Linked DNA regions of Macaca mulatta. The protein of the gene in region 2 purifies or fractionates together with the protein of the main gene of each other region. This does not show direct contact. Links are inferred from orthologs where the notes say so. Each region holds a gene or a part of one and is shown on either strand. Other genes may lie near its edges.

Region 1 (4,165 bases), on a different chromosome or scaffold from region 2:
TGAGAACTATTCGGGTATAATAAATTACTATAAAGTGATTAGCCACCTTTACAGCCACTCTCTTTTTTTTTTTTTTTTTTTTTTTGAGACGGAGTCTCACTCTGTCGCCCAGGCTGGAGTGCAGTGGCCGCATCTCAGCTCCGCCTCCCGGGTCTACGCCATTCTCCTGCCTCAGCCTCCCGAGTAGCTGGGACTACAGGCGCCTGCCACCTCACCCGGCTAGTTTTTTGTATTTTTTTTAGTAGAGACGGGGTTTCACCATGTTAGCCAGGCTGGTCTCGATCTCCTGACCTTGTGATCCGCCCGTCTCGGCCTCCCAAAGTGCTGGGATTACAGGCTTGAGCCACCGCGCCCGGCCTACAGCCACTCTCTAAAACATATGCCATCATAATTCTCCCGAGTCTCAGAGAGGTTAAGTTGCTTGCCCAAAGTCACACAGCAGGGAAGCAGAGCAAATGCCAAGGAACCATTTTTGTGACAGTTTAGCAGGTACCCGGCACTTTGCCAGGTGATTCCCATATGCATTCCTGCATTTAGCCCGTACAGAAACCCCACAAGCTGTTCTCATGCCCATCTGAAAGATAGAGAAAATGAGGCTCACAGAAGTGAAACATCAGCCTAAGCTTTGAGAAAGTTCTCAAAGGATTCAGAGCCAGGTGGGGGGTCTGACAACATCCTGTCTGGCTAGGGAGGGGGCGGACCGGGAGAGGGTGGGGCTGGGTGGGCCCCTTCACACCTGTGGCCCCCAGAGCAAGGTGTTGGTTGCACTTTTCCGATATCCAGCTCCAGCCCATTTGGCTGAGAAACAGGCTGCAGGGATTGGGAAGGTGTCTGCTTTGCTCATCTGCTTAGCTGATGAAGGAACGTTTCTGCCAAACATTTCCAGAGAGCAGGCCCCTGAACTTGAGCTGGAAGTTAGGAGACTCGGGGCCTCAGTGTCCACAACTTTGCGAATGAGAACAGCAAGTCCCAATTCACAAAGCTGCCACAGAAAGCAACGGTGGGGGCGCCTGGAGGGGCACTTACCAGTGTGGGTCCGGACATGGCCTTGTAGCAGCCAGGGCCTGGAGAAGGCCTTCCCGCAGGTTCCGCAGACGCAGGGCAGCGTGTGGCTTCGGATGTGCATCTTGAGGGCACCCAGGCTGAGGTATTCCTTGTTGCAGTATTTGCAGTTGAAGGCCTTTCGAGACTGGAGATCCTTGGCCTCAGAGAGCTGGGCCAGCTGCTTGGGCACTTGGCCCAAGCCTGGGAAGGCAGCATAGGCCTCAGCCTCCAAGGAAGAGGCTGAAGTAGAGGAGAAGGACGAAGTAGCCGGTGAGGGTGGGCTGGGAGGCTGGGAGCCTTTCCCACTGTCCTCGTCCGACAGGGAGGTCAGCTCTGCCGCCCTGGGACTCTCCTGGGGCCGAAGGGAGGCCCAGGCAATTGGCTGGGCTTGGGGCGCCAGGACAGAGTCCCAGATGAGCATTGGCAGCGAGGCGGTGGGATTGAGGATCTCTGGAGGTGGGATGGCTGCCAGCAGGTGGGCCTGGTCGTAGGGCTGCTGGAAGGTAAACTCTGAGAGAGAAAAAGCAGAGTCAGGCGTTAATTAAATCATTCACTCAATCAACAAACATGAACCCACCGCTGGCCAGGGGCTGGGTAGGGCTGATTCTCAACACATAATTAGATAAAAAAAATGATCCACAGGACAGACCAGGTTCCTGCCCTCCTGGCCCAGGTCACCCAATCTGAGTCTCTCACAGGTAGGACCCCCAGTTGAAGGGGGTCATTTCCAGATCTCCCTCTCCTAAGTCCCAAGTCCCCAGCCTGAGGCCAGAACCCCATCACCCCAGCCCTGGAGCCACCACCCTGCCCCAATCCCCCTCCTCACACACATCTCGTCTCCCCACCCCTCCCCTCAACCCTCTGGACTCCGGACTCTCCCCAGCAGCGTCCAGAGGGCCTTCCTGACACAGGCCTCCTCTCCCACTCTCGCGGAGCTCCTCCGCCTCTCGCCGGCTACACAGGCCACCCAAGCACAAAACCCCTGCTCTCTACACAGCACTCCCCCAACCACCCAGACCGATCCCCAGGACTGGGGACCCACCTGCCCGGTCTCCCGAGCCCGAGCCCGAGCCCGCAATGCTCCACAAAACACCCTGTGACTCGATCCTGGCTCAGACAGGCCGCCTCCCTCAGGTGGCCCCCACGCAGCCTTCGCCTGTCTCCCCCAAACCTCCTGGAGCCCACCACCCCTCCAACACACCTGGATTAGAGTCCTGCAGCTCGCTGTAGTTAGGCTTCCGATTGGGGTCGGAGGGCTTTCTGACGAGGAAAGAGCGCGGCATGGTGGCCGAGGCACTGGGGTCGCCGAGTCGCGCAGGAGCAGCGCAAACGTACCACTCACAAGGCCGGACCGCGGCGCAATGAGAGCAGCCGCGCCGCCAACTCCCTTAAATACTCCAAGGGGGTGGGAGGGGAGGGGCCTCATCTGCCACGCCCCTTTGTCACCTCCGCGCCAATCGGAGGCCCGTCTCCGCCGAAGGCCACTCCCCGAGCAGGTGCGCCGGGGGCTGGCCGGGCTCGCGCCGCGTGGCGCTGGGAGCCCGGGCGGGGGCTCCTCCGAGGCGGAGTTCGCAGGCGCAGCGCGGGTCGTCCGTGGTGCTCGGACTGTCCGGGGCGGGACGTCGAGCGAAGCGAGGCCCCTGCGAGGTGGGACCCCGCCAGAACGCCGCGCGCCCACCTGCTCAGCGCCCCGTGGTCGGAGCGCTTCTGACGCCCCCTGGCGCTGCGCGCGGGCCGGGACACCTGACCTTCCGACGCCCGCCCCCGCCTCGGGCTTAGGAGGGGGCGGAAATTTCCTCCGCCCGGCTGGCGCCTGGAGAGCGTGGCATTGACGAGGGAAATGCACATTGCTGGGGAGGAAGCGAGGAAACGGACACCGCACGTGGCTCCTGGCGGCGTGAAATGCTACGGCCGTTTTGCAAAGCAGCCTGGCCCAGCTAGCGAAGAGCGCCCGTTCCTTCCCTTAGCCAGTGTTTGCGGAGGGCCCAGCTGTACCTGGGGCAGGGCACAGCCCCGGACAGGACATTCAAGGCCTCTCCCGAAGGGTAGCTCCCGGTCCAGTGGGGGAGACAGACGAAGTAAACAGACAATTACAATGCAAAGGGAAGTGTGCTTTGGCGGGGGAGAGACGGGACGCAGCGACCGTTAAGAGGCGGGTCACCTGACAGGGGGTCGGGGTGACTTCCCAGAGGAAGTGAAGAATTATCAAGGGAAAAGGCCCGAGGGAAGAAGTGGCAACTGCTTCAGAGTAACTCCTAGAGAGCAGCTCTCAGGGATGGCGTGGGGTGGGCAGGCCCGGAAGGGTCAGATGTGCTGTGCCCCAGGGCCTCGTAGGAGGTTGGACTTTGCCTCAAAGGCACTGGGGAGCCACCGAAGGATTTTCAGCTGACGAGGGACCTGGTTAGAGTTTCGTAGAAAAAGATCCTTGTAGGCCGGCGGGAGAAAGAAGGGATGGGCCGGGCGTGTCTCCTCACCCCTGTGAAGATCCTCGATCCTGTGTCTAAAGGCTCTAACGTTGCTCTGTAGGGGCCCTGACTGAATGCATGTGGGGTGGGCCCAGGTGAGGGGCAGCTGCACCCCCACCCCAGCTTCCCTGGGAGGCATACCAGGCCCGGGAGTAGCGCTGAAATAAACCTCACAGGTCTCACCGTTCTTGTTTCCACCTGTGAAGGAAGACTAGAAAAACCTATAAGCACCCCACACCACCACCAGCAACATGAAGGGCAGAACTACTGTCTGTTTTGGTCACTTGGTGCCGGATGTAACAGCCGTGAACAAAATCGTCTTCCCCTGTTTCTAGCTGGAGAGTGGGGAGTAGGGTGGAGGACATAGGCAGGAAGCAGTTATTAGGCGGAATACTCTCCCTCCCGTGTCAATTTAGCTCCAATCAGGATCCTCTGCTGGAAGCCAGAGTGAGGCCAGAGCACCCCCTCCTCTGCTCAAACCCTCCCATGCGCCTGTCTCAGAGTAAAAGCCAAAGTCCTTTCCTCGGCCAACTCGGCCCCGCTGCTCTGACCCCGGCTGACCTTGGCTTGAGCCTCTCTCCCTCCCCCATGAACAAGGATCCCTCCCCCACCCTTCCTTCTGTTCCTCCAACATCCCAGACCTTTCCCACCGTGGC
Region 2 (3,500 bases):
CTTCATAAATTTTAGATATATTATTTTTAAAAACTAAATTTAACATTGTTAAGACATGTGATGAATGCATATTATTAAATGAAATTCATCATTTTAATATAAATTACAATTAATTAGAAATAATGAAAATTCCAATATTATACAACACGTAAACTAGGTTTGGAAACTAAAATTGCCATTTTAAACATTACAAAAGGATAACCAAAAATAAAATACATACTCATTTATTTACATTTACATTTATTTACTGTATTTTGAGAATGCTTTCTTTCATTGTGTTTGTTTTTACTTTCCTTTTTCAAAGTAGCCACCATCACGAGTCAAGATATCATAAAACCTAAGTTAAGCTAATTACTACGAAACAGAATTCTAATTATATTTAAAATTAAGCTTTAATTATTACTTGTAAATATTGTGGTAGGGGACTTTGTTAGATAATTGTTATATCTGTAAAACAGTAATCATTACTTAAATGAAATTACTTCCGAGTTACTAAAAAGGTACCTTAAAATACAGAATTAAACTTAAGAGATATTATACTGTAATTCATAAAGCCAATAACAATCAAGGATTTTTCAACCTCTTTTATCTAACCCATTTAGTTAAAAAAAAGTAAATAAATTGAAATATAGGCATATAGTAAGAATCAGAAGCTATCCATTCTGAATGGTCTAGTATATCAGTTTCTATTATTGTTTTTGTGGATAGTTTTTGCCTCTGAAAAGCTAAATCACACCAAATAAGATGATGATTTAGAGAAGACCTCAATTTTTATACATGATAATGGTATGATGTCAGAAAACATTCAACTTCAAATTTATGACACATAAAAACTCCATGTTTTAATAGCCATGTTTAGTTTGTTTGAGCTGGTGAGCAGATATAAATGTAATCTGCACTACTATCAAACTCCAGGTCTGATAGATAACAAGCTAATATTTATTTCTAAGTGCTCTAAAAATTATTTGTAAAACCTGCATAAAAAGGATTGCATAAATATATTGTGATTTTATTTTAACAATTATTCTACACTACAATGGAAGTACATGCTCAAACAAGACACCTCAGCAGTATTTTAAAGCAGTAACCACCTAGCCAATTTCTGTATGTTCTGTAGTTTTTCTAATCCACTCTCCCTGTGGTTGAGCAAAATCGAATTGCCTCTCACATTTGCAGACAGCTCTGTGAAGGTGATAATAGAGCTGCTCCCTGCTGTCATGAGGCAGGAAATAGGAAAATGGCATATGGGGCTAGAAAGAAAGAAATAAAAAAAAAAAAAAAAAAAAAAAAGAAAGAATGAACAAAAAAAGAGAAAGAACTAAACAAGAACAAAAGGGGTTTCAACAAAGAACTATAACACAATATGCTTTCCAAGTTAATCTGTTTTCAGAATTATTTAGCATATTTAATCATTCATTTGCATCCTCACTCCAAAAACGTGAATGGTTGATACCAAGTCTTTGGGCAAGTTTTCATTGTCTAAAATATTTGGAAAACACACCTCCAGAATATGTTCTGCACAATGTCTGCAAAACAATGCCCTTTAAATAGATTTTTAAAATGTTCTGCCAATTCCAAATTCATCATTTGAAAATAAAGGTAAAGCAATGTTTATTTAAATATTAATAAAATGTTTATAGCAGGCTTTGAGTATGGTTTAACTTTGCTAATTTTATGAAATTCAAAAAATTTAAAGATAAATATTCATGACAATTACACAAGTGATTAAAGAAGAAATCTCTAAATAAATTGCTAATAATACCAAGACACAGTTATCAACTTGTAAAGTTTTTTTGTTTGTTTGTTTTTTAAGTAAACAGATAGCAGCTTTCTGTATAATTAAGAATCCTGCTTTGAACAAAATGGATTTTTATTTAATGTATCTGTAAACAGAATGTGGCAGTAGATGGCAATAAAGATAGAATCTACTCTACCTTTCCTTTTACACTCTGAATGGGATCCACAACCACTGCCACAGCTCTCTCCGACAAGGCTTCAAAGCTCTGCTGAGTGTTGATATCCACACCAGAAAGCCAACAACCAAAGCCAGGGTGACTGTGATACCAACCAACAACCATCTCCGGCCTGAAACAAAGAGGGCATTCAGATGCTCAGAACAGAACAAGTAATACATTTATGATATGAAAAGAAACAACACACTAACGGGGTATAAATTAAGAAGAGATGAAAAACACACAGGTGTGAAAAAGCACCATTAGAAACCCTGAAATTGTACACCATATTATCCAGAAAACATGGAAATGAATATGTGTGACAAAGGAGTACTATCATTAAGAGATGCACATTAGCAGTGGTAGATAAGGCTTTCAGTTTTTCACCTTGTTACCACAGTTTCTCAGAGCCAGTTTTTACCCTTTCAGCATTCAAGTAAATATCTACTCTTTAACTCCTTAGCTCTGGGAGTTGGATTTTCCAGGCACAGAGTACATTTTTAACAATGGACACCAGGATCCACTGTTGTGAAAGGATTAAATATCAATTAAACCAGCAGTAGAACTAGGAACTCAGTCAAAAACCAATTTGCACTGTTCTGCTCAGCTGCTGAGCCTTTTGCTAACATAAATTTTGAAGTTTTTTCCACAGTAGAAGAATTTGAGCAAGAGAATGGCAACTTTGAGAGATTTGGTCTGAGGAAAAAAACTTCAGAATATTTGGATTATACTTTCTCTGTCTTTAAAACTATGCCTACAAACATAATTAAATATTCATAATCTCATTCAGTTGCAGCTCTCAAATACATGGAACATACAAGCTCTTTCAATTATAAGTGACTAGACAGTAACTCCATATGCTAAACAGAGGGAAGCTACAGCCCAAGCTTACTATGTGACAGTCAAGAATTTTAACATGAGGCAGTTCTCTGATGGGCAAATTTCTTTGGTTCTAAAGGGAAGACATACTAGACAGGCGGTGCATGGCACCGATATTTACAGATACTTTTATGTCAACTATGTGACCTCTTTTTCTAGAAATGATACTGATAAACATCTATAACTTTGAGGTATGTCTCTATAAATATTTCCCATTATTTCTTTAGCTGATCACTTAAAATGCTTACCTTCCTGTCTGCTTCAACATATCCAACATTTTAGCTTGGAACACTGGATCAACTGCCTCCACACTTACACCCTGATTTAGAAAGAAATAAAAATTATTAATTTTTGTAAATTTGGAAAAAAAAAAAGCTTCCCTATGTATATTATTTGGGGTTGCCAAAATCATTTTATAGGTTTTGATACCTACATTTGATACCTACTCAAGTCATTCAATTATAAACCTCACACCAATCAAGCTTCTAAAATTGCCAACTAACAAACTGCTGTTGGCTAATGAGTTAAGCCAACTTTCAGGATTCTTAAGAATATAATGGCCATTGCTATGTATATGTTTACCAGAAATACGAAAACAATTGAATCAACCAGAGCTATTGGTTAGACCTATCTAGGCAAGCATGCTTCCTAATGCCATCTTATCATAAC
Region 3 (4,220 bases), on a different chromosome or scaffold from region 2:
CAATTTCAACTGACATCCAGGCCATAATTATGTCACACCTTAAGGGGTCCTCCAGTTCCCAATCTTGTCAGTTGCAACCAATTTTCCAGACGAAGCCAGAGAGCCGGAGTGAATTTTTTTTTTTTTTTGAGACGGAATTGCGCTCTTTTTGCCCAGGGTGGAGTGCCCTGGCGCGATCTCGGCTCGCTGCAACCACTGCCTTCCGGTTTCAAGCGATTCTCCTACCTCAGCCTCCCGAGAAGCTGGGATTACAGGCGTCCGCCACCATGCCCGGCTAATTTTTTTGTATTTTTAGTAGAGACGGGGTTTCACCATGTTGGCCAGGCTGGTCTCGAACTCCTGACCTGGTGATCCGCCCGCCTCGGCCTGCCAAAAGTGCTGGAATTACAGGCGTGAGCCACCGCGCCCGGCCGCCAGAGTGATTCTTTAAAAATGTAAATTATATCATCCCACTGCTATGCTTAAAATCTTTTGGAAGTTTGTCTCTAGGATAAAGTTCTGAATTCCTTAGGATTTCCTTCTCAGTCTCATTTCTCCGTCCCCTCTCTTACGCTATTTTGAAATTTGAATTTTTAGAATACATGCTTGCAGCCTCAAGAGCTGTTCTCTCAGCTAAATACGTGTTCTCCTCCCTCCTTTTTCTAATCAACTTTGCACTCAACCCTTACAGCTTAATTTAAGTATCACTTCTAGGAAACTGACACCCTCTCAACCCCCTAGTTTGAACTTCTCTGTAGAGTTTCTAAGGCTTCCTGTACTTATCTAGCAATTAAGAGCATTATCTTGTAATTCACGTCTTTATCTCTGCTAGACTAAGTCCTTGGGAGGGCGGAAACCAGGGTAAACTTTCCATCTCAATAGCCTAAACGGAGTGCCTTACACACGAAACAGTCGTTCAATTAGCATTTATTCAGTGAGTTAACGATTTTCTTCCTTGGAATGATGGCGGCCAGAATACCAGAAAGATGGGGACTAAAAGGGGACAGAATAATTAAATCTATAAGGAACAAGCGGGAAGGAGTAAATAAATCTATAAGGAGCAAGTGGGTACGTAGGCTTTTCCATAAATCCCTGTAACCTAAAAGCCGGGGCTGCTCGGCTAGGGGGACCAGGCCGACCTGGCGAACCTGTCGCCGCGACTGGGGCTCCGGTGGGCGCCGCCTGGAGTGCGCGACCCCCGGCGAAGCAGGACAATAGCTTGGAATTCGGCCTCGTGTTTCCGGTGAGGCAGCCTCGCGCTGGGCCGGTGAGGCCCGGGGTGGGGGCTCCGAGCCGGGCCCACGGCAAGGAAGGCGCGGCCCGCTGGGCTCCAGCTGCCGCCACCACCGCCTCCCCCGACGCCGTCGCTCCGCCCCGCCCCGCCCCGGAAGTGACTTGAGACCGGTCCGGAACCTCTGAGCCCGGCGGCTGCAGCGTCACCAGCCGAGCCGGTGCGGGGCGGGCAGAGCGGCCGCTGCCGCCGCCAACGAACCGGGAACCGCGCGGGGCCCAGCAGCACGCCGGCCAGGGAAGGGGGCCTAGCGATCGGTCAGAGGGCGACGGGCCGCCGGCGGCCGCAGGGCGACGAAGACGCGGAGGAGGCGGAGCCCGGAGAGGGGTGGGGGTCGGGGAGGGTTAGGGTGGGAGGGGGTAGGGGGGGTGTCCCTGGGCTCATGGAGCTGGCCGAACGGGCGAGAGTCGGAGAGCCCCCGGAGCCGGGCGGGCGTTCCGAGCCGGGCCCGCGGGGCTTCGTCCCGCAGAAAGAGATCGTCTACAACAAGCTGCTGCCCTACGCCGAGCGGCTAGACGCCGAGTCCGACTTGCAGCTGGCCCAGATCAAATGCAACCTGGGCCGGGCGGTGCAGCTCCAAGAGCTGTGGCCCGGGGGCCTCTTCTGGACCAGGAAACTCTCCACGTAAGTGTGCCCGGGCCTGCAGGCCGGGCCGGGGGGAGAGGCTTAGTGAGAGGTGTCGGGGATGGGTGCTCTTTGTCCAGAGGACTGGACCCTTAGCTCTGTCCTCGCTGGAGCTGTCCCCGAGCGGTGGTCCCAGGGTCGTGACAGAGCCTGTGAAGCACTCAAGCTGTCCTCCCTGACACTTTCTTACCGGGATTCCCGGGTCCTCACCAGCCCTGCACGTCCTCTCCATCTGCTTCTCCCGAAGTGTTCGGGTTGTTGTCTTCCCACCTGGGGGGACCTGGGGAGCCCAAGGGCCCCGGCCCCGAGGGAGAGAGGTGAGCCTTTCCCAAGGGTCCTTCGTGGATCTTTGCGCATAGGAGAGGCGGGGCAGAGAGGATTTGCCTTTGGGGGAGTTCTGTGACTTCTCTCCCTGCTTCCTCCGGTTCTTCCTTCCCCTACGATCCCCGCCTCTTCACATCTCCGTTGGCGTCTAGTAACTTTCTGAATGGAAAGGAGACCATTGGGAAACTTAAGGGTTCTGCTTTTTTGGGGCCCGCTCAGACCTGGCGGAGTTGATCGAAAAGGTTGGTTTAAAGTCAGACTTCATTCTTGAGCTTAACGTCTTAGACGTTAATGTGGACAATGTTGTTTAAGATCCTAAGGATTGTGTGTTGTTCCTGTTGTGACATTTCTTTTGGAGAGGCCTTTAAGATACTGAGGAAAGTAGGGAAGAGTACTGTCAGGATGTCCACGGCGATACTCGTATCAGGCTTGTGTTAATATTTTGAGTTACTCAGATTAACATAGATTACCTGAATCAGTTTCAGGAGTTCTGTTTGTAAACTAGCTTCAAACTATAGTGTCACTGAAATTAGGAAAAAAACAAAAAACAAAGAATAAAAATACAGTGGGGGAGGAAAGGTTACATTTACCTGCTGGGTGGGCATCTTTACTGTGTCGGAAGAGCTTTTTAAGAAATAATTTTGCTGTATCTTGTTTGGTTAACTGTACATAAAATCTAGTAACATGGTATGTTCACGCATGTGGGTATGGATGGGTGAACACACAAGACCTAAGTCACTCATTCAGTGTTTACCCAAATCTACTGATTGAACTGAGTGATGACTCAGGGTTTTGTAATAGTTTTGTCCATATTTCTTCACTGGATGATTCTCGTCTGCCAATTATTAAGGAGCCTCTGACAAATTTCTCATTTCCACTTGAGGGGTGGGTGGGAACTAAAATTAAAAAGAAGCAAAACTGAAACATGTAATTTGCCCTCTTCAGAGAGTGATCATAAAATGTCAAGGTTAACAACTCTCCTCCTGACTACAGTATAAAGAAGTTTTTGGTGTTAACGATCCTTAGGAGAATGGGGGTGAGGGGCGGCAGAAGCAGGAATGCAACAGGGAGAACCACGTTTAGTCAAAAAAAGAATACTTCATAAATAGTTACAATCCAAATGCTTTTTGAAGTGAGACTCCTAGGTTTTTGTGTTACTCAGGCACAGTAAAAATAGTCACTTTGTTACAGTGATTCCCCATTTTAATCACTTGGATTAGACTTGCTGGGAGAATACCTACCATTTTTGGGGATGCAAACAGCTTTTTTTAGATATGCAGTATATACATATGCCATGGTGCGAAGGCATATCTGGTTTGGATTTATGAACCTAGAATCTACCAAGGCATACTTAAACATTGTTTTCTGAAGTATTTATTGTTATCAAGTTTGGTAAATTAGCACTCCGGGTTTTGTTATTTTGGCTTATTAGGTAAAAGTTTTTACTTAGAAAGGGCTAAAAATAACAGTGGAGCTAATGTTTGGTGTTTAGGGCTGGATTGCTGATGGCTTAATACCCATGAACCTATAACCATTTATATCTAAATAACCAACAAGAAATGCTATCGGGTAAAATTTTGTTTTGGTGTAATGGTTAAATGCTGGAAACTGATTCTTGGTATTGCACTATGAGACATTTTGAATGCAGTGGGACATGTTGTGATCTTGGGTGTGTTTTTTTCCTAAGTCATGTTAAGGTGACCTGTTTATAGTTGTGCTTGTTTTTTAAGCCTTCTGTGTTGCATAAGTGAACATCTGAATAATGCCAAAACGTGTGACGAAAGCTGAGTGGTGATCATATTTAGTACTTCGTAGAATAGAAAGTGGTAATGAAAAGAAATCTAGTTTCTCCCACTAGCCCTGAGACTGTGGGAAAGTTACTTAATCATGTGTTTCAGTATTCTTGTGCGTGAAATGAGGAGATTGGACTAAATAATTCTTTTTTTTTTTTTTTTTTTTTTTTTGAGGTGGAGTCTTGCTGTTTCCCAGGCTGGAGTGCAGT

Evidence for each region.
Region 1: the proteins of PSMD14 (region 2) and SNAI1 purify together in Homo sapiens (affinity purification with western blotting; 3 studies listed by BioGRID, with this or other methods). This does not show direct contact. The link is inferred for Macaca mulatta from reciprocal best matches to the Homo sapiens genes PSMD14 and SNAI1.
Region 3: the proteins of PSMD14 (region 2) and PSME4 purify together in Homo sapiens (affinity purification with mass spectrometry, with the first as the bait; 3 studies listed by BioGRID). This does not show direct contact. The link is inferred for Macaca mulatta from reciprocal best matches to the Homo sapiens genes PSMD14 and PSME4.

What each region holds. Positions count from the first base shown.
Region 1 is NC_133415.1:102,822,936-102,827,100, reverse strand, and holds the start of SNAI1 (zinc finger protein SNAI1), read right to left. Parts: upstream 2,801-4,165; 5' UTR 2,328-2,800; coding exon 2,246-2,327; intron 1,555-2,245; coding exon 1,027-1,554; intron 1-1,026. UniProt on the Homo sapiens protein: Involved in induction of the epithelial to mesenchymal transition (EMT), formation and maintenance of embryonic mesoderm, growth arrest, survival and cell migration.
Region 2 is NC_133417.1:66,182,950-66,186,449, reverse strand, and holds part of PSMD14 (26S proteasome non-ATPase regulatory subunit 14), read right to left. Parts: intron 3,151-3,500; coding exon 3,080-3,150; intron 2,086-3,079; coding exon 1,935-2,085; intron 1-1,934.
Region 3 is NC_133418.1:70,690,816-70,695,035, forward strand, and holds the start of PSME4 (proteasome activator complex subunit 4), read left to right. Parts: upstream 1-1,420; 5' UTR 1,421-1,652; coding exon 1,653-1,894; intron 1,895-4,220. UniProt on the Homo sapiens protein: Associated component of the proteasome that specifically recognizes acetylated histones and promotes ATP- and ubiquitin-independent degradation of core histones during spermatogenesis and DNA damage response.